4 linked regions of the Arabidopsis thaliana genome follow. The protein of the gene in region 2 interacts with the protein of the main gene of each other region in a pairwise test. Each region holds a gene or a part of one and is shown on either strand. Other genes may lie near its edges. The genes, in order: SAG29, WAK3, AT4G37220 and ABCG6.

Region 1 (6,184 bases), on a different chromosome or scaffold from region 2:
CACAATCGCGGAGTTTCGGACAACGTGGGTCACATGCCCTCGCAATCTGACAATTATTTTAAGGATGGCTTATTCAGATTGTAAGATTTTAGTTGGTCTTATCAAGTTTTTGTCGGGACTTTTTTTTACTATTGACAGTGTACTGTGTAGTCTATTGAAATGGATGTCGAAACTTCCCGTATGTTTTAGTTTTGGTGAATATCATTTCTTGGCCTCTAAATACTCGGAGAATCTATTCTTTACTAGATAGTCCTAAATTTTAGAATTTTTTAAGTAAGAGGAAAAATTATTAACTAAAAACCTCTGTCTTTTTTTCCATCAAGAGACATACTAATTTTATAAATTACATAGCGTATCCTACACTGGCATGCGTAATTTGTCAAAATTCGCTATAATATATATGATTCTTTGTCGGATTTTGTCGTTACGGTTTAAAATGTAAGTTAGTTAACAAGTATATATATTTCATATTATTATTTCTTACGAGTTATTTATAGTTATATTAAAATATTTTGGGGTAATATAATCATAGGATGGTTATAATATTTGTAGATAACTAAGTAATCTTGTATATTTTGTTACGAATAAGCAAATAATATAGTGATTGTCACTTGGAAGTGTGAGATATGCTTGCAATACATTTTCATCAGACCATTGGGACGTCTTGACAATTTTTTATTCGTTTCCAAAACTGGACGGTGATGATTTTTTGTACACTTGAAAATTAGACTCTACAAAGAAAAACACAATTCGTTTAAAAAAGAATATAATCTGCTTTGGTTGTATATACTTGATGGGGACAGTTTAGATCACAAACTTATGTACATACTTTTTCTTCTGACTCATGAGTTTTATATATTTGTTAATTCTCAAAATCGTTAAACAGTATGTCGTCAATGGCACAAGACCATTCGTTATCTAACTGACGGCGACATCTTTAAGACAAATGTAATCAATCATAAAAAAAAAGGGTGGTCAACAAGCTTATTAGTTTTAACAAAAAAAAAGCTTATTAGTAGGAGTAATTAAGCTATTGAGGTTTATTATATCAAATTTTCCAAAGAGCACTAGTTACAACTTACACAAAGATAATATATTCAAATAAACACAAAACTTTATGCAAGTAGTACATCATCAATAAGATACGAAACAAAAATGGAAATTTAACAAACCACCCCGCCGATAATACAATTTCTTCCTTTGGCCGGCCCTGACGAGCCGAGAGAAAGAGAGTGAAAGAGAGAGAGAGAGAGAGCAATATTTTGAGCTTCACATATTGACACTTCAAACGGTTTCAGGACGAGTAGCCTCCACGTAGCACTTGCCGTTTTCAATTGACGGCTCCTCCACTTTAGTAACTTTGGACAGATCCTCATGATGAACGGCTTCAGAGAGTGGGTCCACCGATTCCGTCACAACTGGGTGCACTTCCGACACACCTAACGGACTCATCACGACAATACTCTTAAGTTGTTGTTCTGACGAATTAATCTTCTCTGGTTTCTCATTTGAGTTCCTGTAAACCAAGTACAAAACCATTTGCAACAGCCCTAGTACGAATCCCACCACGTTTGGAATCTACAAAATATCATCAAAGCCATACAAAATAGGTCAGTTATAACCTTTTTACCGAATATTTAAAAAATTTAGCAAACGGTAAAAATAAATAATAATATAGATGCTTAATTGCTTACCGCTATGCATATGTCATTGAGGAATAAACCATAAGCGAACCACATAACGGCGCTTATAGTGAGGAAGAAAGAAAGCGTGAAGGGCATGTACTCCACACTCTTTGTCTTTATCACACGAGCCTATTCACATCAAGAATTTATATTTAACATTTTATTTCAAAATATAATGTTCTAGAAATAAATTTACAAATTAAATTAAATAACGCTAGCTTACCACGATCATTAGAGGGGCAGCGAAAACAGAAACAGAAATGGCAACACAAATCCAGCCGAGTACAGAGACTTGGAGGGGAGGAGTTTTAACCACGAAATGTGTTACCATTAGAATCAACGAGAAGAAGGCAACGTTCATTGCTATGAACAACTTCATAGCCGATATCTGCCAAAAACGCATATTATTCATTTAATATTCGTATTTAATTACATAGCGGAATTAAGGAGGAGGAGAGGGGAATAATTTTACCCTTTTCTCCCTGGTGGCGTAAGCGAAGAACATGGCTATGTAGAGAGTCTCCACGACGCAGCCAAAGGAGTTGATGGTAATTAGGAGAAAAGCGTCTTTCTTAATCAATGCGTAGTAGAGCCATAGCATGCAGCTAAATAGCGACACTTGGTACGGTAGCGACTGGAAACTTTCCGTCGATTTTCTCTTGTATATTCTATAAAAAGTTGGCCTGAATATTTTGAAAAACGAAATCATCAGAATCATTCTCAAAACTAACAAATAAATAAAATGAAATAAAAAAAAGTAAATTGAATCTACTTACACTGGAGCGAGGAATACAAGGAAGGATATCACGTTTCCTGTAATTCCATGTAAAAATAAAAAAATGAGTCAATTGTATAATTAAGAGGCTTCTAGTTTTGTGGAAACATAAGTACATATGAATCAGTACGGGTTCTCTAACCAACCTCAGCGGGGAATTAAATTGTGCATTAACCACTATACACGTATTGAGTATGATATAACATGGACAACAATGCGTGACGATTTCAATTTAATTAATAGCTTACGTATTGATTTATTTTTTGGTAGTTTGGGATTTAACTAAAGAATTAGAAGATCATTTATAATCCCAAATGACTTAGTTTAGTTAATGAAGAAAAAACTTGAAACTTGTTAGGTGAGTCATGATGAACACTACAGAATTTCAATTCATTTCTTAGTACTCTGTTGTTTAATTAACTCTAAGCTAGAACTACAATGGAACCCTACACATAGTATATATTGTTTTGAAAACAGAAGCTTAGATGTAAAGTTGCAACATTATAGTTGCTGTTGCAAATTCCTTTTGTTAACAAGTAAAAAACATAAGAATAACAGTAAAGACAAGAGATGATGAACAAACTAGGATTTGGCTTTGTGGATTTATCATTACCTAAGATGCCGAAGATAAAAGCGAGGAAATGGTGATTGATCATGACTCCCATTTTCTATAGCAATTGAGAAAACTTTCCTGTTAGGAGATTTCTAAAGGGTCTCTTTTTTTTTTTTTTTGAAACCCTAAAGCTTTCTCTCTCTTTCTCTATATGTCTCTCTCTAGAAGATGCTTCTTTTTATTTCATGGAGGAAACTGAGGAGGCTCAGGTGGTTTATATATAGCTCCAAAATAACCATTGTAGTCAAAATATTTTGATTTTAATGTTTAGAGTTTATTAGAAGCGTGTAACGTGTTGAGTAGAATAAAAAACAAAAAAATAAGACTCGAAAAGGAAAACGAACTCAGTCTGGTTGCATGACAAGTGGAGATATTAGTAGGTAGCGTTTGCATTTTATCATTCACTCAATCTTACTTCTTTCCTCCACTACTCTCATCTCGTACGCGCGTCGTCTATTACGATTTCATTTTCTTCACGCCTTCTTTTTAATTAGCTTTCATAAATCACATTTAGTACCACAGTTTTGTACTTTATAGACGATAGATAAATATCATGGTGACCAAAAGTCTACCCAACATCAACCTATATAGAGGAAATCATCACTAGATTACATTACGATTTGTACATTTTCTTTAGGCTTTATCGCCCTCTCTTTATTTTTAATCTACATATATATGAACTGGAATCCAAAATATCCCACGTATCTATTCAATGTACATAATAATTATAGACACTGTTTTCAAAAATGTAGGATAATTAATTTCATTGACTATATTTTCAAGTATGATTACAATGAATTTAATTGTTTTGTCTGTATTCTCGTTACACAAATATATACTATGACTTAAATGAGAGGGGTGGGACTGGTTTCATCTATATTGGTTTTTGTAAAGGAGTCTAGGTGAGAATGATTAAAGATCTAACATAGCTAGAAATATACGTGTGATGGCTAGATTAAACCAACACATTTATAGGTAGCACAAAAAAGTACCAGTAAAGATATTTCTTTGCAGAAAATTGACGCCGTTCTCTATATAATTATTGGCATTTGCAATGATTAACCAAAGTAGGAATGAAACCATTCACATCTCCTGGTCCAGTTTCTCATTTCTCTCTAACTCTTGTCTAGAGGTACACGTTTTTTTTTTTCCTTGTACAAAAAGAAAACGTTAACAATCATGCATGTTTTGAGCAAAAACTCCACGCGTCGAAACGGAGCGTCGCGCGTGAGAATAAATTAAGGTAAATTAAACGAAAAAAATGATGCGTTACGAGAGAGAGTCGTGATTAATAATACGATAATAATAGCATGAAAACGAAAAATTTGTGCAAATCACGTGACCTCTCCAAACGCTTCCACTTATAGCCGTTTCTTTAGAGTTTGTAGAGACACACACACACGAGAGCTATGCCACGTCATCAGATGCTGACTAGGCAACACCCTCTCTTTGGTTTCGTGTCTTTAGAGTATTTTCTGTTTCTTGCTCTTCGTCTCCTGTTTTAATCCCTATTTTCAGGATTTCTTATATTAGTATATTAAATAACAATTAGTCCTTTTTGTTGATTCCAGTTATATATAATTTTCTAAAATGTTTATAAACTTTTTCTCGTTAATTTTTTGAAATAAGGATGCATGTATAATGATCTAGTTATGCAGTAATATGCATATTATTCAGAGATTGGTTGAATATTACATTTTCTTTTGTTACGTTTGTTTCTATAGTTATGAGGAAAGGAATCTGAATATTTTGGAGAAAAGGTTGAGAAAATTACGAAACAATTCTCCATTTTTCGAGGGTAAGTTAAAACAGATATTAAAAGTGGGAAGAAATGGACAAAAGAGGAGTGACGTGGTAGGCTAATGATAACAATGATCATGGGTTTGTTAAATCCTTCTTGTTCTTATTCGTGAGTATTTGTTTCTCTCTCTCCCTCTTTCTTTTATTTGGTCCATAATAATTTAAAATATGAGAGGTGCCACTTTTGTGGTTCTCCTCCACCTTAATTTCCCCATCTCTAATTACTATTGAAGCAACTTTGGTTTCTCTTAAAAATTTTGATTGATTGGTGCCTAATATAGTTTTGGTTCATCGTACGATCCATACGGTGTATGCAAATTTGCAATCACATTCCCCTGACTTCTTTATATTATTTACTATAAATATATCCATGGACATTTATAGTAATATGTATACAGTAGTCATGAACAATAGATATTCATAATTCACTAGCAATATTGCATCACATCACAATTTCTCGTTTATATTTTGACATTTCTCATCGAATAAAATTTCTGTAACCCATATATGAAATGTTTTTTCGTTTTTAATGGATGATGCTTTAAATGAATTATGTGGAAAATCAACCCAAATACAACAAACATCGGCTGATCAAACCCCAATAATATAGGCATCTAGGTGACCCACATTGATATATGATGGATGCATATAAATTTGTGTATGTTGCTACCACATAAAGGAAAAATGACAATCATGTGGGTGAAATTAAACCTCCCCCGATCCTATCGTTTTCTGATTTCAATCGGTTATACGAATCTAGCTTTACACACACATACATTTATCTAGCTATGCTACATATAGCTTTCAATGATAGATACCTATCTATGATTTGTTAGCGAATTAATTAATGTTTACCAAATAAATACTACTATGTCATTATGATCGGTCTATTGAATCTATATTAGCCAGAATACCATAAATTGTGTATGTATTAAACCATGTTGTTCAAAATAATTACTCAAATAAATTTCTTTTCAATCATACATATTTATAAGAATTATTACAGCGTTGTGATAATTAAAATAAATGTAATGGGATGGTTGATATCATCACCTTATTCACATATGGCCAAAGTGCTAAACTATTTTTCTGACAGAAATATACTACGTGTATCACTTCTAGAGAAATTTCAATCATACATGAAAATTAACAATAACATTTCTCGAGAGATAATTTTGAATTGTTAAAAAACTTGATGAAAATTAATTACTTAAATATAAGTTTTAAAATTTTCTAGTACATATATTAAGACAAACTTGCATGTATAAAGTACGCCTTTTGCCGTCTACGTTATCATTTTCTCAGTAACCA
Region 2 (6,791 bases):
ATCCTAGGCCAGGGAGGACAAGGAACAGTCTACAAAGGGATATTGCAAGATAACTCCATTGTTGCTATAAAGAAAGCTCGACTTGGAGACCGTAGCCAAGTAGAGCAGTTCATCAACGAAGTGCTAGTGCTTTCACAAATAAACCACAGGAACGTGGTCAAACTCTTGGGCTGTTGTCTAGAGACTGAAGTTCCCTTGTTGGTCTATGAGTTCATTTCCAGTGGCACTCTTTTTGATCACTTGCACGGTTCTATGTTTGATTCTTCGCTTACATGGGAACACCGTCTGAGGATAGCCATAGAAGTTGCTGGAACTCTTGCATATCTTCACTCCTATGCTTCTATTCCAATCATCCACCGAGATGTCAAGACTGCTAACATTCTCCTCGATGAAAACTTAACTGCAAAAGTAGCTGATTTTGGTGCATCAAGGCTGATACCGATGGACCAAGAGCAGCTCACAACTATGGTTCAAGGAACTCTTGGCTATTTAGACCCTGAATACTACAATACAGGGCTTCTGAACGAAAAGAGCGATGTTTATAGCTTTGGGGTAGTCCTCATGGAACTGCTCTCAGGTGAAAAGGCATTATGCTTTGAACGGCCACAAAGCTCAAAACATCTAGTGAGTTACTTTGTTTCTGCCATGAAAGAAAATAGGTTGCATGAGATTATTGACGGTCAAGTTATGAACGAGTATAATCAGAGGGAGATCCAGGAATCTGCAAGAATTGCTGTTGAGTGTACAAGAATTATGGGAGAGGAAAGGCCAAGTATGAAAGAAGTAGCTGCAGAGTTAGAGGCCTTGAGAGTCAAAACAACCAAACATCAGTGGTCAGATCAATATCCCAAGGAGGTTGAGCATTTGCTTGGTGTTCAAATCTTATCGACGCAAGGTGATACCAGTAGCATTGGCTATGACAGCATCCAGAATGTAACAAGGTTGGACATTGAAACTGGCCGCTGATATTTATCAATCTTTTGTTTGTGAAAAAGTAAAGCCACTTATTTATTGCTTATGTCCTATATGTTTCCTAACACTTCAAAAAAAACAGAGTATCAAAACATGATATTCAAGAACATTTATGCTCGAGAGATCCGTTGTAGATCATCAATTATTCATTTTATAACTCCATTCGATTGGTAAGCTAACCAGTAGACGATTCGGTATGAGAAAAATTAAGAATTCATGAATCTACTAGCAGAGATATTGATATACTGTTGTGGTTGCAAAACAATAACTCGAATTTAAAGGGCTCAGTTGCTTAAAACATCCTATTTGATCCACAGCTTGACTCATATATTGTTTTGGTACTGGCATCTATAATTTAATACTGCGTTTTCTAAATTAACAAAATCATTCTTGCTGCATAAGATTGCTCTGGTTTTGAAGCCATCAAGTTTTCTTATTTTGTTAAAAATTTATGATCTTTAACCATAAGTAATATATATAGTGAAAACATGAGAAAATTTGGTGGATTCTAGAAAAGCACTCTCCGTCAACGTGATCGATATTATGATGAAATGATTACAAAGATGCAATTATATATATCCACGAGCAACAAGACGAAGACAAAAATGTAAACAAGTTAACATATGATTTTGGAATTAGATCAGTAATAAACAAACATATGCACAACTACATGAGAAGTAAAAACTAGTAAACGAGAAATCTCTAACTTAAGATGCGTGGTATGTACGTAACTCCAAAAGAACAACTTGACATTTTTTTTTTTTTTTTTTTTTTGAATGTAATGTTAAATTATATTCAAGAAAAATAACGTTTTTGATACAAGGCTTTGAAAGTATGAAAGAACAACTTGACTATTTGATAAACAACTTGACTCATATATTGCTCTGTTATTAAAATTTTAATACTGCGTTTTCTAAATTAAATTATCATTCTTGCTGCATAAGATTGTTGTGGTTTTGTAACCATCAAATTTTCCTTTTTTGTTAAAACTCTGATCTTTAGTAAATTGAGAAAGCTACCTCTACTATACCCTTAAAATCTCTAAGTCTGGTCTGTCAAAGATTATTTTAATCATCAAACAGTGTATTTTCAGTTTTTTCTCAAGATTTTCCCTCAGTTTCTTTGAATGAATCTGGTTTCTTTCGGTGAAAGAGTGCTGGTCGTAATTGAGTTTGGTTTGTAATATATTACTTAAGTGTCGTGTCTGTTAAGTTAAAGTAGTTATGTTTGTTGTGTCACAAGAAAGAAGAGTCATAACTCTTGACTTTTCATGTCTGTTGGTTTGTATTTAAGTTAATTGTTGTAAACCTTGTAAAACAGTTGTTGTATTTCACTTTCTCTATAATAGAAAGACAAGTTCTTCTCTTTATTGTTATGTTGACGATCAAACCAATTGTGATACAAAGTCTGATTCTCTTTCTCTGTTCTTAACTCTGTTCTGTTTCTAGAAGGAGATTCAGTTTCTAACAAAGTGGTGGATTTGCATGGAAATTTCTCATAGATAACCTCTTGAAGAGTAAGCAGCGACATGACACATGAGGCAAGAACTATTCAAATTCTTCGAAAACTTGTTGACATTTATAAACTCAACACACACACACACACAAAAAAACTACATATTTCTACTATTACGACAGCAGAAGAAAACAGAGCATGTTGTGATCATGATGAGTCTTATTCCTACATTGTCACTATAACGAGACTTTCATATATGAACAATAAATTGGAGTTTCCTGGAAAAATCAAGACAAGAAAGAAAGGACAGATAAAGAAGTTGACGCATTTATATTTTTCTAACGTCTAGTAGTCTGAATCTTTACTTTTCTTCACATTTGATTATTCAACAATGTCAAATCAGGGGTTACTTTTCAAGCTATAAGAAGCGAATAAGCGATGAGAGAAAACTCAAAGAGAAACAAGTTTAGAGAGAAAGAAAGAGAAAGGTAGAAGATGAAGTTCCAGGAGGGTGTGTTCTTGGTGGTTATTTTCTTCCTTGCATATACTCAGCTTGTGAAGGGGCAACATCAACCTCGCGAAGATTGTAAACTTAAATGTGGAAACGTCACAATAGAGTACCCTTTTGGTATTTCTACAGGTTGTTACTATCCCGGAGATGATAATTTCAATCTCACCTGTGTCGTGGAAGAGAAGCTACTACTCTTTGGCATCATTCAAGTGACCAATATTTCTCACAGTGGCCATGTAAGTGTACTGTTTGAACGATTCTCTGAATGCTACGAGCAGAAAAATGAGACTAATGGAACTGCCCTCGGGTATCAGCTGGGTAGTAGTTTCTCTCTCTCCTCCAACAACAAGTTTACTTTAGTAGGATGTAACGCTTTATCACTTTTGAGCACTTTTGGAAAGCAAAACTACTCAACTGGATGCTTGTCATTATGCAATTCTCAACCAGAGGCAAATGGAAGATGTAATGGTGTAGGTTGCTGCACAACAGAGGACTTCTCTGTCCCGTTCGATAGCGATACATTCCAATTTGGCTCAGTTCGCTTGAGAAACCAAGTTAATAATTCCTTAGATCTATTTAATACTTCGGTATATCAGTTTAATCCTTGCACCTACGCTTTTCTCGTTGAAGATGGTAAGTTTAACTTCGATTCTTCAAAAGATCTTAAGAATCTGAGGAATGTCACGAGGTTCCCTGTGGCACTAGATTGGTCTATTGGAAACCAGACATGTGAGCAAGCTGGAAGCACAAGAATATGCGGTAAGAACAGCTCATGTTACAATTCTACTACTAGAAACGGGTATATCTGCAAATGTAATGAAGGTTATGATGGGAATCCATACCGTTCAGAGGGTTGCAAAGGTACTTCATATTAATTTCTTTGCTTTCTTTCTTCTTTTGAGTGTTTATAATCTTCCTCATACGTTTTTGGTTGCATCTTGTGCACTTATTCCTTTGGTCAGACATCGATGAGTGTATTAGTGATACACATAACTGTTCGGATCCAAAAACCTGTAGAAACAGGGATGGAGGCTTCGATTGTAAGTGTCCATCTGGTTACGACTTAAACTCCAGTATGAGCTGCACGAGGCCCGAATACAAACGGACTCGAATTTTTCTTGGTAAACACTCTTCACTGGTTCTAGATTCTCTTTAAATCAACTCGCTCTAATCATCTATGCATGATGTTATCAGTAATCATAATCGGCGTCTTGGTCCTCCTGCTTGCTGCGATCTGTATACAACATGCAACGAAGCAAAGGAAGTATACCAAGCTCCGACGACAATTCTTTGAGCAAAATGGTGGTGGCATGTTGATACAGCGACTTTCAGGAGCAGGGTTGTCAAACATTGATTTCAAAATCTTTACTGAGGAAGGCATGAAAGAGGCAACTAATGGCTATGATGAGAGCAGAATCTTGGGCCAGGGAGGTCAAGGAACAGTCTACAAAGGGATATTGCCGGACAACACTATCGTTGCTATAAAGAAAGCTCGGCTTGCAGACAGTAGACAAGTAGATCAGTTCATCCACGAAGTGCTCGTGCTTTCACAAATTAACCACAGGAACGTGGTCAAGATCTTGGGTTGCTGTCTAGAGACTGAAGTCCCCTTGTTGGTCTATGAATTCATTACCAATGGCACCCTTTTCGATCACTTGCACGGTTCCATTTTTGATTCTTCTCTTACATGGGAACACCGCCTCAGAATAGCGATAGAAGTCGCTGGAACTCTTGCTTATCTTCACTCCTCTGCTTCTATTCCAATCATCCATCGCGATATCAAAACTGCAAATATTCTCTTGGATGAAAACTTAACTGCAAAAGTAGCCGACTTTGGCGCTTCTAAGCTTATACCAATGGATAAAGAGCAGCTCACAACTATGGTGCAAGGCACTCTAGGCTATTTAGACCCAGAATACTATACCACAGGGCTTCTGAACGAGAAGAGCGATGTGTATAGCTTTGGGGTAGTCCTCATGGAACTGCTCTCAGGTCAAAAGGCATTGTGCTTTGAACGGCCACAGGCTTCAAAACATTTGGTGAGTTACTTTGTTTCTGCCACGGAAGAGAATAGGTTGCATGAGATTATTGACGACCAAGTGTTGAACGAGGATAATCTGAAGGAGATCCAGGAAGCTGCAAGAATTGCTGCAGAGTGTACAAGGCTAATGGGAGAGGAAAGGCCAAGGATGAAAGAAGTAGCTGCAAAGCTAGAAGCCTTGAGGGTCGAGAAAACCAAACATAAGTGGTCGGATCAGTATCCTGAGGAGAATGAACACTTGATTGGTGGTCACATCTTGTCTGCACAAGGCGAAACCAGTAGCAGCATTGGCTATGATAGCATCAAAAATGTAGCAATATTGGACATTGAAACTGGCCGCTGATATTGCTCACAAAATCACATGTATCTCTTTTGTTTGTAAAAAAAGAAAACCACTTATTTGTTGCTTCATCAATATGCTTTGAGAGCTTGTTTGTTCATCATCAATAATCATGTTCATATTTTCCTTTACTTGGTATACTATGGTGCAAGGCACTCTAGGCTATTTAGACCCAGAATACTATACCACAGGGCTTCTGAACGAGAAGAGCGATGTGTATAGCTTTGGGGTAGTCCTCATGGAACTGCTCTCAGGTCAAAAGGCATTGTGCTTTGAACGGCCACAGGCTTCAAAACATTTGGTGAGTTACTTTGTTTCTGCCACGGAAGAGAATAGGTTGCATGAGATTATTGACGACCAAGTGTTGAACGAGGATAATCTGAAGGAGATCCAGGAAGCTGCAAGAATTGCTGCAGAGTGTACAAGGCTAATGGGAAAAGAAAGGCCAAGGATGAAAGAAGTAGCTGTAGAGCTAGAAACTTTGAGCGTCAAAACAACCAAACATAATTGGTCGGATCAGTATCGAGAGGAGAATTTACACTTGCTTGGTAGCAACATCGTGTCTTCCCAAGGCGATACCAATAGCCGTGGTTATGACAGCGTCAAGAATGTAGCATTGCTTGACATTGAAGCTGGCCGCTGATAAATTTTGTTTGTTAAAAAGTATATTGTTTAATTCTTTATTGTTTATCTCCTTTTGTCTTTATAAACATAACCAGAATATCAAAACATGACATTCAAAAACATTGATATCCTTGTAGATCATCCATATATACTCATGTTCACAATTCTCCTATATTTTTATATGCTAACCAGTAGCTGATTAGGTATTAGAAAAACTACCTAGAGTTCATAAATATGATTCCATACGACATTAATATATCATTGTGCTTAATTATAAAGAAAAACAAAACAACTCGAGAAGAAAAAACACTAGAATTTAAAGTAGGCGTCAAAAACAGAGGAGAGTAAGTATACTATGAATATGATCATCGAAATCTTCAGCACCTGGTCGAGTTCATCGTAGATACCGCTTCCTCAAACCAAACCATATGATTCTTTGTTAGTTGCTTGGTAAACTAAAAAAATAAAAGACTCATTTGGTGCAAACTTCATATTTGATCTACAGCTTGAGTCATCATGTTTCGTTACTCATCTACAACCCATCATTCTTGTTGCATAAGATTGCTTGATATTGTATATCACATCAAATCTCTTAATTTGTTTCTTGTTAAAATATATGATTTTTAGTAAGTGTTAGTCAGCAATCCTACGATTATTGGCAGGTTAGTCACCAATCAAAGCATGATCACTTGTTGTCTACTTCCATTTGATTACCCCAATTCATGTTTATTGACTTACTAATAATACCAAGCACGTATTCAGACTAAAATTATCTTAGAACCAACTTCAGTGGATGAAGATAAAAGTTGGGGAAAGTGCAGACTCAAATATTAAAGGAATCTCAATTC
Region 3 (5,173 bases), on a different chromosome or scaffold from region 2:
GCTTCGGTGATACAAACCCTAACCGAGCCGGCGACGGAGATTGCGCAAACCCTAGAACCTAACCTAGCCTCAATCGAAGCCACCGTCGAATCGGTTGTTCAGGGAGGCACTGAATCGACTTGTAACAACGACGCTAATAACAACAACGCCGCTGACAGTGCTGCTACTGAGGTTTGTGATGAGGAGCGTGAGAAGACGCTTGAGTTCGCTGAGGAATTGACGGAGAAAGGCTCTGTGTTTTTGAAAGAGAACGATTTCGCTGAAGCCGTCGATTGCTTCAGCCGTGCTCTCGAAATCAGGTATCTTTTTGGGAGATTCATTTGAGAATTTGTAGTCGAGAACCTCTCAATCAAGGGTTTAGGGTTTCAGATGTTTCTGAATCTAGTTTATGCTCGAATGATCTAATCATGGTTCTGAATTTTTAGTTGAGTTTCAATTGTGTGTTCTCTCGACTGAATTCTTTAGTATCTGGTCCTTTTATCAAAGGATCTAATGAAAACATTGCTTGTTTTAATGGTATGGTTAGGGTTGCACATTATGGTGAACTTGATGCTGAGTGTATAAACGCATACTATCGATATGGATTAGCTCTCCTGGCAAAGGCTCAAGCTGAAGCTGATCCACTTGGGAACATGCCTAAGAAAGAAGGTGAAGTTCAGCAAGAGTCCAGCAATGGTGAATCGCTGGCTCCTTCTGTTGTTTCAGGTGACCCAGAGAGACAAGGGAGTTCAAGTGGGCAAGAAGGTATGGATTATTGGGAATTGTCTTAGGTTAAGCTTATGGGTATAGATGCTTCTGCTTCTTTGTTTGCTGACTTCTTTTCTCCCTCATGTATAGGTTCTGGTGGTAAAGACCAAGGAGAGGATGGTGAAGATTGTCAAGATGATGACCTATCTGATGCTGATGGTGATGCTGATGAAGATGAGTCTGATTTGGATATGGCCTGGAAAATGCTGGACATTGCTAGGGTTATTACTGACAAACAGTCTACTGAGACAATGGAAAAAGTGGATATACTCTGTTCGCTTGCTGAAGTGTCCTTGGAAAGAGGTATTTTTTCTTCCTTTCACCTTTGCATTGTCTTATTTTCTCATGTCAGCTATTGGTTGGTTTTGAGTTCTGTTGTTTACTATGCAGAGGACATTGAGTCTTCCCTGTCTGACTACAAGAATGCATTATCCATCTTAGAGAGACTGGTTGAGCCCGACAGTCGACGCACAGCTGAATTGTATCCTTGTGGTTTCTTAAATTGTACCTGATTTTCGTTTCTGTCAATTCAGTTGTTGGATTATATCTTAACTTGAACGTTTCAGAAACTTCCGCATCTGCATTTGTCTTGAGACTGGATGTCAGCCTAAGGAAGCAATACCATATTGTCAAAAAGCTTTGTTAATATGCAAAGCTCGGATGGAGAGGCTCAGTAATGAAATCAAAGGTGCATCTGGTTCAGCAACTTCCTCAACCGTCTCTGAAATAGATGAAGGCATCCAACAATCATCCAATGTTCCTTACATTGATAAATCTGCTTCAGACAAAGAAGTTGAGATCGGAGACTTAGCTGGTCTCGCTGAAGATCTAGAAAAGAAGGCAAGTAAACTAAACCTATCAGTTCATTAAAATATCTCTAAACCCATACTAATGTCCAACATTTTTTTTCTGCAGCTTGAGGATTTAAAACAACAAGCAGAGAACCCAAAGCAGGTTCTTGCTGAGCTAATGGGCATGGTATCAGCTAAGCCAAATGCCAGTGACAAGGTTGTTCCTGCTGCTGCTGAAATGAGCTCTTCTAGGATGGGAACTGTGAACACCAATTTCGGGAAAGATTTAGAGTCGCCTACAGTCTCAACCGCTCATACCGGTGCAGCAGGAGGAGGAGCAGCATCAGGTGTTACTCACTTGGGTGTTGTTGGAAGAGGAGTGAAGAGAGTTTTGATGAATACAACCTCGATTGAATCAAGTGCATCAAAGAAACCAGCTCTAGAGTTTTCAGACAAAGCAGATGGCAACTCCTCTTGAAACCGGAAAAAGGTATAAAAATTCCTGTTACTAGTGAAGTATCTAACCTAAGAAAACTGAGAAAAACATTTGGTATCTTCCTCATGAATCTTCCAAGACTAGATTTTCAGGTTCATGTTTTGTAATGGAGTCCGTACTTGCTACTTTTTTAAATCGCTGAGATATTTTTTACTTTTTATTCTTGTTTAATCAGTCTTATTTTTTCAAAGTGTTTTTTAGTTTAGGCACAAAAGCAGAATCTTATTATCACATTATCAGTTGATAATCATCTGATGAGAAATAGTTCTTTGGAGATCTTTTAGGGAATTTTATAAGTAATAATTAAGGGATAATTGGATATCCTTTATTAAAAAATGTAGGCTACTTGTAGAATTAAAAACTGGAATCTTATAATATGATTAGTATAATAAGATTACGCTATATCTGGATTCTGGAGATATCATAGATAAGCTCTGTCTATGAAAACGAGACCCTTGGGGAAGCCACGTGTCAAATCTATCTCTGTCACCAGCGAAGCCTACGTGGCGAGCAGCTCCTAGAATATCCAAATTCACAACAGTATTTTTTTTTCTTTCGTTCTGATTCAACAGTTGTCACAAACAGCCAAGGTGTTTTGTGATTGGTTATAAATACTCTGCTATGTGAGAGAGTTTACTACATTCACAAACAAACTAAAACTTAAAAATGGGAAGGGGTGAGTTTTTGGCCATGAAGACTGAGGAGAACGCGGCTAACCTGATCAATTCCGATATGAATGAGTTCGTCGCCGCTGCAAAGAAGCTCGTGAAAGACGTAGGGATGCTCGGCGGGGTAGGTTTTGGCACGTCAGTCCTCCAATGGGCCGCTTCAATCTTCGCTATGTGAGCCAAAAGACAAAACCATATAACCTCTCTGGTTTTTGTTTGAATCATATATTGATATGATGGTTCTTATTGTTTTGCTTTGACAGTTATCTGTTGATATTGGATCGTACCAACTGGAAAACCAAAATGTTGACCACCCTTTTAGTACCATACATCTTTTTCACACTTCCTTCGGTTATCTTCCAGTTCTTTAGGTAATCAAGAAAAACTGTTCTTTAACATGATGTTATGGAGTTCTTTTGAAAATATAATCCATATTCGATATAATTTCACAGCGGAGACTTTGGGAAATGGATTGCTCTCATCGCGATCATAGTCAGGCTTTTCTTCCCTAAAGAATTTCCAGGTCAGAACCAGCAGTTTTCATGACTTAACATTAGTTTGAAACTTTGATCTTGAAAATCTTCTTTCTTTTTTGCATATAAATGTAGAGTGGCTAGAGATTCCGGTAGCATTGATTCTTATTGTGGTGGTGTCGCCGAGCCTTATAGCTTGGACACTAAGAGAAAGCTGGGTTGGAGCAGTCATATGTCTAGTAATAGCATGTTACCTTTTCCATGAACACATTAAAGCTTCAGGTGGATTCAAAAACTCTTTTACTCAAAAGAATGGAATCTCCAATACCATTGGGATCGTTGCCCTCCTCGTTTACCCGGTTTGGACCATCTTCTTTCACATCTTTTAAGTCAATCCGACCCATTGGTTTGTAGACACATTCAACATTTTGTGTCTTCAATTCGTTTTCAAGGTTTGAATTTTATAAGGAGCATTTGTGTTTGAGAAAGTCTTGAATATAAAAAAGAAGTTTCAATCGTGCACTGCTGACTTGTAAGATTGTTTTTTTTTTCTTGTAAATGTGTGACTTGTAAGATATATAAATAAATTTGCATATTGGTTGATTTGTTGAATCAATCTTGAATATTGTAGACTTTTTAATTGATCATGACTAATAGTTGTTTTTTGAAAATTGTTTTTCATTTCATTAACACCAAACAATAAAGCAACACAAATTTCTATCACCTCCTAGCATTGAACTACGTGCCGTTGTTCGTATCCAAAAGTGTATATTCTTGTAATCATTCACCGTCAAAGCTCAAGTAGTTAGTAGCACCACACCAGATTTCCAAAGCACAAAGCTCATGACTAGCCTTACCTACACACTCGATGAAATCGAAGGCCCTTTCGAAGTTGATTACGCAGCAGTGACAGTACACAACTTCCTGGTGGGGAGCGTGTACCGTTCTTGTTCACGATCAAGCAGCTCGTGGCATCGCAGAGGATACTTTGGTCCCAAGTCGATCCCTTCAGCATTCACCCAAGGCCACGTTGGAAATAAATCTGATCGTAAAACACAACATCTGCAGATTATTATCAATAAAAATTCAGAAATCAATAAAATTCACTCTGAAAACGCAGAAAATCTAAGGTAAATTCATAACGACCTTTTGAATTTCTAGTGTCGAAGCTGTATTGAAGAAGAAGAAGAAGATTCCGAAGCTAACAAAGGAGAAGACGAGAGTGGATTGATTGCTCCTCTCTCCTCTCTGATGATATTCGTGCTTCTACACTCACAGAGATACACTGTTTATTATTGTTTTCAATATATGAGAGGAGGAGCTTCCCTACTATTTTTAGTTTTTTAGCCAATGAGAGAGCTCCACTTCATACCCCACTTTTACCAATCGTGCGATTTCACAGCCACTCTCACCCATGTCGCGTTGAGCGCGTGTCTACGATTTCTAAAGGGGTTATTAATCCACAAAATTTATGCCTTTTTGAATCCACGCACCTCGTTCTTAAAAACCCATCGCGTGTCTTATTTGTTTTGGTTTTCTTCTCTAAACCAAATTAAACCGAACCGAGATCAATTTGAATTTCGAAACCAATGTAAACCCATCGCTGTGAAAACAAAAAGCTCGGCCACAAAAATGGAGACGACACAACTTGGAAGAGAAATCAACTCGAAATAGCCAAGAGAATGTTCGTAAACCCCCTCAAATCCGATGCTTCCTTTGATTCCAACCTCCAAAAGCCCATCTGCTCAAATCCGAGGAGTATTACAAGGTACCTCTATAGAATATCAAGGCTATGACAATGCGGTTGCATTACCTGCTAGAGGAAACAATGAGGAGCTAGCTAAGGAGAACAACAAGATCACACTTAGTGTAACAAAGAGTAATCCCGAGAGCGGTGAAGTGATTGGTGCTTTCGAGAGTATTCAACCTTCAGACACTGATTTGGGTGCTACGACTCCTAAGGATGTCAAGATTCAAGGAATCTGGTATTGCCAACTT
Region 4 (6,781 bases), on a different chromosome or scaffold from region 2:
ACGAACAAAGTTTGTAAACAACCCCAAACGAGATTTTCCTGGATTTCGTTCACGATCTCCAGTTAGATCAAGAGAAAGATCAGATGGTTCATCCTCGTCTTTCAGGAATAGATCACAGGAAGAGTTCAGTGGGCATACAGACTTTTCTCATCGAAGATCACCCTCAGGTTACAAAGTGGAGAGGATGAGCTCGCCTGACCATTCTGGTTATTCAAGAGAAATGGTTGTCAGAAGACACAATTCTCCACCTTTCTCGCATAGACCATCGAATGCTGGAAGGGGCCGGGGTTATGCAAGGGGCCGAGGTTATGTAAGGGGTCGAGGTTATGGAAGAGATGGCAACTCATTTAGGAAACCATCTGATCATGTTGTACATAGAAACCATGGAAACATGAATAACTTGGATCCTCGAGAAAGGGTTGACTATAGTGATGATTTCTTTGAAGGTCAAATTCATTCTGAACGATTTGGTGTTGATGTTAATGCTGAGAGAAGACGATTTGGTTATAGACATGATGGTACCAGCAGCTCTTTTAGACCATCTTTTAACAATGATGGTTGTGCACCTACTAATGTAGAGAATGACCCTGATGCTGTGAGGTTCCAACAAGACCCTCGTATTAAAATTGAAGAACAAGGGAGTTTAATGGAAATTGATGGAGAAAATAAGAACTCAACTGAGAATGCATCTGGAAGAACTAAGAATATGGAAGAGGAAGAAACTTCAAAGAACAGTAAAATTTGGCAACCGGATGAGCTCGGTGGTGATGGTTTTTAAAATAAAGGTTAGTATTCAATTTGCTTTAACCTTCTAAGACCAGGAAGATAAGTGATAGTAAATCAGATATCAAACGGAAGTTCTGTGATTTTGCCATGGCCGAGACAATTCAGTGGCTGATTATTGTGGACATTCCAATGACTGATGTAAAGGAACACTCTGCTCTATCGTTCGAAAAAGTTTTGAACTTGGCCATTGCTTGGCTGTGTGTATGTATAGCACTTCTGTTGTGGTATCATCTAGATGTTGTTACCTTTCTTGCTGTGATTCAGTTTCCGGTGTTCTCATTTGCACTGTAACACTGTCTGTGAGTTGGAATGGGTATACAACTGAAGCAAGATGGTGTAAATACATGTGGTTTTTTTAGTCTTCTCTACACTCAGTAATCCTCAACCGGCTTATGTAGAACGTTACTGGTTTAACGGATATGAGGGGATGAAGAATGGCTAGCCTAGGTTGTTAGAAGAGACACTTTCCTCTAGTTAAAATACAGGGGTCCAGACTTTTTACCGGTAGAACTATTCAGGCCAGAGAGACGTGCAGGTTTTGTTCTTGATGAACAAGTATCTTTGCCGAAGCACTCGTGTGTTCTACTTGAAGTTGGACTTGCCAGAACCATAACAACCCCAATATATGGCTGAGTTATAACTGTTATTTGGTTTAGGACTTTCAGTTGCATCTGCGAAGAACGAGATGATGGATATTCATAACACGATGTCATCAATATGGCTTTAGGTATATCCAAGATACCAAAGGTACACCACCTACACCAAACTTGCTTGAAATGTTGACATAGCCACTTTTCAGTTGATAGAGACAAAGGAGTTTGAGAAATAAGGGTTAGTAAGTTTGCTATTATTGTTTTGACCCAATAATAAGCTTTATCACCTATCATGTTGAAGCATGTACAGTTTGGTAGAACTGGATTTACTGGCCATGGACGAGAGCAAACTGGAAACGGCCAAAGGTACACTACCTATTTGAACCCAATGGGGTGTTTGATGGTTCCTTATCTTTTTCCTCATTCCAAGTGAATTTGAACTTTAATGTTGCATTTGAGGGAAAGGATTCTGATTGATCTTGTTGCTTTTCCAGTGTAGGCATGTGAAAGATGAATTTTACGAGGTTGAATCAGTAGATGTTATTAATGAGGGGTTGAGGAAAGTGTTGGGAACCGGAAGAGGAACCCATAATCTGATTGGGGAATGTGTATGAGTTTGTACATAGTTCATGTTTCTGAAGCAAGAGATTGAAGTTGTTTAGAGAGGCTGGTGTTCTAAAAGTGACGAGACTATAGGCTAAGCTTCCCCTTGACTATGGTTGGCAAATCCATCAACATACGTCATATGATGTGTTCTACGGAATGTGTAAGGTGCTATTGTACTAAAAAAGTTGGCAATTTTTAGTTGTAAAATTTGTTTTACTTATCAAACCCAAACAAGCCAAATATTCTACACACATTTATAGTCTTTTCTTTTCAGAGTCTTCCAATTTATAATTCAAATAAATAGCAAGTAGTTGGGCTCCAATTCAACAATTTATCAACCACATATATAAGAATATACAACAAAGAGATAAAAGAAAAATACAGAAAACAAACAAAGGTAAATCAAGTTTCAAACCAGTCCTCCATAAGATCAAACTGAGTTTTGTTTTTACCTCCTCTTGTTCTTGCTACCCAAAAGCAGAGAAAAGTAGAACAAGATTCGAAAGAAGAAGCCCCAAGCGACCGTGACCCACAAGCAATTCCATTTGGTGAGATCCGTAACGCCTTGTTGCTGCAAAATGTCATATCCTGTGGTCAAGCAAGTAGAGCTTGTGATCCTCATTCCAAGTGATTTGCTCATAGTTGCTAGAAGCCTAACTTTCATCCCCTGAGGCACCGCGACCAGAGGTGTGTTGTCGAATATCTGAACTCCTCTGACGAAACACTTTGTTGGGTCACCGAATTCGTTTAGGAGCACAGCCTCATAAGGATACTTGACTAAGGAAATGTAATGGAACCAGATCCAGTAGCCAGGGATTCGATCTCGGTTGATGAAGAATCCACTGAAAAGCAAGAAATAGGCTAAAATGGCTACAACAATGGTGTAACCGAGCATAACGTGTGGGACAACGCCTGATAAGAAGGTGACGAATGAGCTTCCTGCCCAGAAAGAGGCTAAGATTACTAGGAAGTAGAAGAGGAAACCCATAAGACCTCCATCTAAACCCACACCCCAAAATGTGATCGCTGCAAAAGCAAGCGAGAGGATGATCAAGGAAGGGAGGGCAACAAGAGAGTGAGATAGTACATAGGAGGATCTTCGGTAAGCGTTGTAAGCAGTTTCTCTCATGAAAATGAAACGTTCTTGGAGGAAAACAGGGAGAGCATCTGCGCAAGTGTAGAACGTTGTGGACATTGCAAAAGCGAAGCATCCAAGACGTTCTTGGACTCCTTTAGGGGAGTTATCTAGCTGCCAAAACATAGTGGCTAAGATGAATCCAGTGACTAAAACAGCTCCTAGGCGTATCCCGAATAGTTCAGGCTGTCTGCGAGAATTAGTCATGGACCGTTTGGCTAGAACCGCGAGTTCGACCCAAAACGGGTTCGCGAAAGTTGGAATAGTGGAAACAGGGCTCGAGCCAGAGCTATGAGTTGTTGTGGTCGCTCCAGAGACGAGCTTGCCTTTAGAGATACTTGCGCTGATGGCTTCTTTTAAGGACAAGCCAGTCTGACTTCTTGGCTCTGCTTTCCTCTGTCTAAACCCTTTGTTGAATTCAACTAAACTTCTTGTTCCACCAGCTGATCCTTCCAGCTCACGTATCAAATCCAAAGCGAACTCGGTGCGGTTCTCATGTTCAGGAATTGGATGGCCAAACTCTGCGAAGAAGCGCGGTAGCATCGCAGGCGATCCGCTGAAGACAGTTTGGCCACGGGACAAGAAGAGAAGACGATCAAGCAATCGAAGAAGACGGTAACTAGGTTGATGAAGAGTCATGATCACCATACTTCCACTCTGAGCGATTCGTTTAAGAACCTTAATAACACTTAGAGCACTTGTAGAGTCCAGACCCGAAGTTGGTTCATCGAGGAAAAGCAGAATCGGATCGTGGATGATATCGATCCCGATTGAAACTCGCCGTCGCTCTCCTCCAGAGATTCCACGGTGTCCTTCATCTCCGATCACCGTATTCGCCGCGTTTCTAAGTCCTAACTGATCAATCAAGGCTTGGACACGGAGAGACTTCTTTGATTTCGAAAGGCTTCGCGGGAGACGAAACTCGGCAGCGAACATTAAGGTTTCTTCAACTGTAAGCATCGGAAAAAGAAGATCGTCTTGCATCACATAAGCTGAGATCGCTTTCTGCATTTTCGAATTGAGAACTTCTCCGTTTAGAGTTACATTTCCTTTCAAGCTTCCTTTAGCGATTCGATTCGCTAACGCATCGATCAGCGTCGATTTTCCAGAGCCACTTGCTCCGAGCACAGCTAGTATCTCTCCGTCTCTAGCTTCTCCGGTGATTCCGTTGAGGAGCGTCTTCGTCTTGGAAGAGAAGATCCCCTCAGACGGAGCTCCAGGATCTGAAGAAACACTGCGTCTCCATGTGAACTTCCGGCGAACTTTGACGCTGTAAGTGAGATCAGTGAACGAGAGAACGAACGGTACGGATTGGTCCGGCGAGGCGAGATCCACATCAACGTGATGCTGGTGGTGACTACGACGCGTGGAGTCGTCGACGTTTTGCAAGAGCTGTGCGAACGTTGTTGGAGAAGACGACGCGCCTGAGACATTGCCAAACTCCGGCGAGAAGAACGGCAACGCCATATTGTCGTCCGCTGCGACCACACGAGACATTCTTCTTTGGGTTTGTTGCGATTGTGAAGCGGGAAAAATCAATAGACGGAGGAAAAACTAACGGCGTCAAAACTACCGTTAGCCGGAGAAGAAAAGAGGAAAGAAGAGTTATGGGTTTAACCAAGGATTTAATTTCTAATTCTATTTATAGATAAAATTCTCAATGTGGTTGGGCTGTTTAACATGCTTTGATTTTTAGGATTAATTTTGATGGGGAGAGTCAAAGTCACAATGCTGATGCTTATGTAGATGAACCTCCAAACCTAAACACAAGCAAGTAAAAGTGTAAAACACAAAATGCCACTTGTCAGTTTCTGTTTCTTTAAAATGTTTTCGTATAGCAATCAAATGTATTTTTTAGGCCACCCTTGCCGAATTTAGGCCACCATTCCCCCACCCACCTTTTATACTAACAAATTACAATGTGAAAAAAACTAAACAATCTCGAGATATCTCTTGTTTCCAAGGTAATCATAGTATTACATAAACTTCACTTATTTAGGTGCGACTTTTTGTTTTATAGGTGAGTTCATTTTTTATTCTAAAAAGAAAAACACTTTCTGCTTCGATTAAGCAGTTAGAGGGCGCTATAAAGAAGATCATCGATTCACTACTCGGATAAGAAACTCTTTTAACCTTTATAGCTGGTCGTAACATTGTCATCTAAAGCCATGATCCAAAGGATTCACCACTTCCCTACTAACATCATTTACAACAACCCTTTCATTCTAGAAGAAACGAGAGGTATATAAACCAAATGGCAAAGAAATAGAAAGCTACCAGCGTGTATGAACATATCCAACGGTTTTGCTATAGACAAACCCACCAATCCAACCGCATCATTACTCCCAACACCAATCCAACCGATATGTGACAAACTGACCAGTCAAGCTGAATTACCAGATTCCAACGCCTGTAAGATAACTGACTGGTTGAACTTGAAGTTTATGAAACTGCCACCAGGTTTTATGTCCTGAGAATGGTCGACTACAGGCTTTGTATTGTGGCTTTCTACTGTTGCTGTTGTATTGTGGCTTTCCATTGTTCCTTTCCTGAGTTCAGGCTTTGTACTGTGGCTTTCCATTGTTGTTCTCTTGAGTTCAGGCTTTCTACTGTTGCTTTCCATTGTTGTTGTCCTGAGTTCAGACTTTCTATTTTGGCTTTCCACTGTTGCTGTCCCGTTCCCTCCAACACTAGTCCTTGCATTCCACACGCAGAGTGCTGTACAAAGCATATATAGTCAGATCTCTACCAAAAACCTCTCTTTTAATGAATGCTTGAGAAAAAGACGTCAAACCTTTAAGGGGCTTGTTAGGTCTCCGTGCTACAGGTGAAGGATGCTTTAATATCCACGACTTCAATGACCTGCACAAGTTTGTAATCTCTCTTGTTATGAACCAAAACACGAAAATCACCCAAAAATCTATGTGTATAAATTAGAGAGCCACTACTCACGAAAGGAAAGGTGCCACCATGTACAATTTGAGACCAGAAACTCCATGAGTTATCACCTCATTACTTGCTGGCTGAAGATGATCAAGCCGATGCCATGTGATTTCCTACAAGTATTCCACAACAAAAGAAGATAAGAGACTCATCATACATACACAGACAAGATCAGATCCACAAGTTAATTGTTAAATACGCACACTGATTTCCTTCTTTGTAAGTGGTGCAAAAACTGTATCTTCTGTCACCCCAGCAACAATGTAAAGTCGTACTCTTTGCTGCCTGAAAACAAACTCTATATATTCTTCTCTCTTGAGTAGCTTTGAGACATCAAATCCAGTTTCCTCTAAGACCTGTAATTTAGCATGGAAGAACAATACATAAGAAGTGTGACAAAATATTCAGTTTTTTTTCAACATTAACCCATATTCCAAGTCTATACAAACAATCAGAAGAAGAATTACAGCACCTGAAATGCTACATTCACCAGGAGAATAGCACTAGAGAGCTACAATTAAACCTTTGACCATTTCCATACCAATGAAATAGTAAAAAGATACAGAGAGCCTATATAGTTGACCATTGACAGCAGCACTATTCTCATTTGCAAAAGATTCTGTCTACTGGTGACCTAAGAACATTTTTTCTTCCTCAATTATCACGTAGGAGAATCTATTTTCAGTACGTAAGGTGTATGTGTTATGATCAAACTGTT

The links.
Region 1: the proteins of WAK3 (region 2) and SAG29 interact in a protein complementation assay, tested with the Arabidopsis thaliana proteins (one large-scale study listed by BioGRID).
Region 3: the proteins of WAK3 (region 2) and AT4G37220 interact in a protein complementation assay, tested with the Arabidopsis thaliana proteins (one large-scale study listed by BioGRID).
Region 4: the proteins of WAK3 (region 2) and ABCG6 interact in a protein complementation assay, tested with the Arabidopsis thaliana proteins (one large-scale study listed by BioGRID).

Annotation. Positions count from the first base shown.
Region 1 is NC_003076.8:4,180,047-4,186,230, forward strand, and holds SAG29 (senescence-associated gene 29), read right to left. Parts: upstream 3,309-6,184; 5' UTR 3,126-3,308; coding exon 3,074-3,125; intron 2,499-3,073; coding exon 2,462-2,498; intron 2,369-2,461; coding exon 2,158-2,368; intron 2,074-2,157; coding exon 1,909-2,073; intron 1,815-1,908; coding exon 1,695-1,814; intron 1,579-1,694; coding exon 1,285-1,578; 3' UTR 996-1,284; downstream 1-995.
Region 2 is NC_003070.9:7,431,381-7,438,171, forward strand, and holds WAK3 (wall associated kinase 3), read left to right. Parts: upstream 1-2,854; 5' UTR 2,855-2,922; coding exon 2,923-3,799; intron 3,800-3,900; coding exon 3,901-4,059; intron 4,060-4,132; coding exon 4,133-5,322; 3' UTR 5,323-5,450; downstream 5,451-6,791. Other genes in the region: WAK5 (wall associated kinase 5), read left to right, coding at 1-966; AT1G21245 (Protein kinase superfamily protein), read left to right, coding at 5,462-5,962. UniProt on the Arabidopsis thaliana protein: Serine/threonine-protein kinase that may function as a signaling receptor of extracellular matrix component. Binding to pectin may have significance in the control of cell expansion, morphogenesis and development.
Region 3 is NC_003075.7:17,512,406-17,517,578, forward strand, and holds AT4G37220 (Cold acclimation protein WCOR413 family), read left to right. Parts: upstream 1-2,636; 5' UTR 2,637-2,700; coding exon 2,701-2,876; intron 2,877-2,965; coding exon 2,966-3,073; intron 3,074-3,154; coding exon 3,155-3,225; intron 3,226-3,310; coding exon 3,311-3,564; 3' UTR 3,565-3,757; downstream 3,758-5,173. Other genes in the region: AT4G37210 (Tetratricopeptide repeat (TPR)-like superfamily protein), read left to right, coding at 1-299, 527-744, 838-1,050, 1,138-1,228, 1,314-1,587, 1,663-2,016; AT4G37230 (Photosystem II manganese-stabilising protein (PsbO) family), read left to right, coding at 4,019-4,223, 4,956-5,173.
Region 4 is NC_003076.8:4,368,715-4,375,495, reverse strand, and holds ABCG6 (ABC-2 type transporter family protein), read right to left. Parts: upstream 4,805-6,781; 5' UTR 4,618-4,804; coding exon 2,434-4,617; 3' UTR 2,295-2,433; downstream 1-2,294. Other genes in the region: AT5G13590 (uncharacterized protein), read left to right, coding at 1-778; DCP2 (decapping 2), read right to left, coding at 5,504-5,838, 5,915-5,982, 6,073-6,176, 6,267-6,419, 6,536-6,574.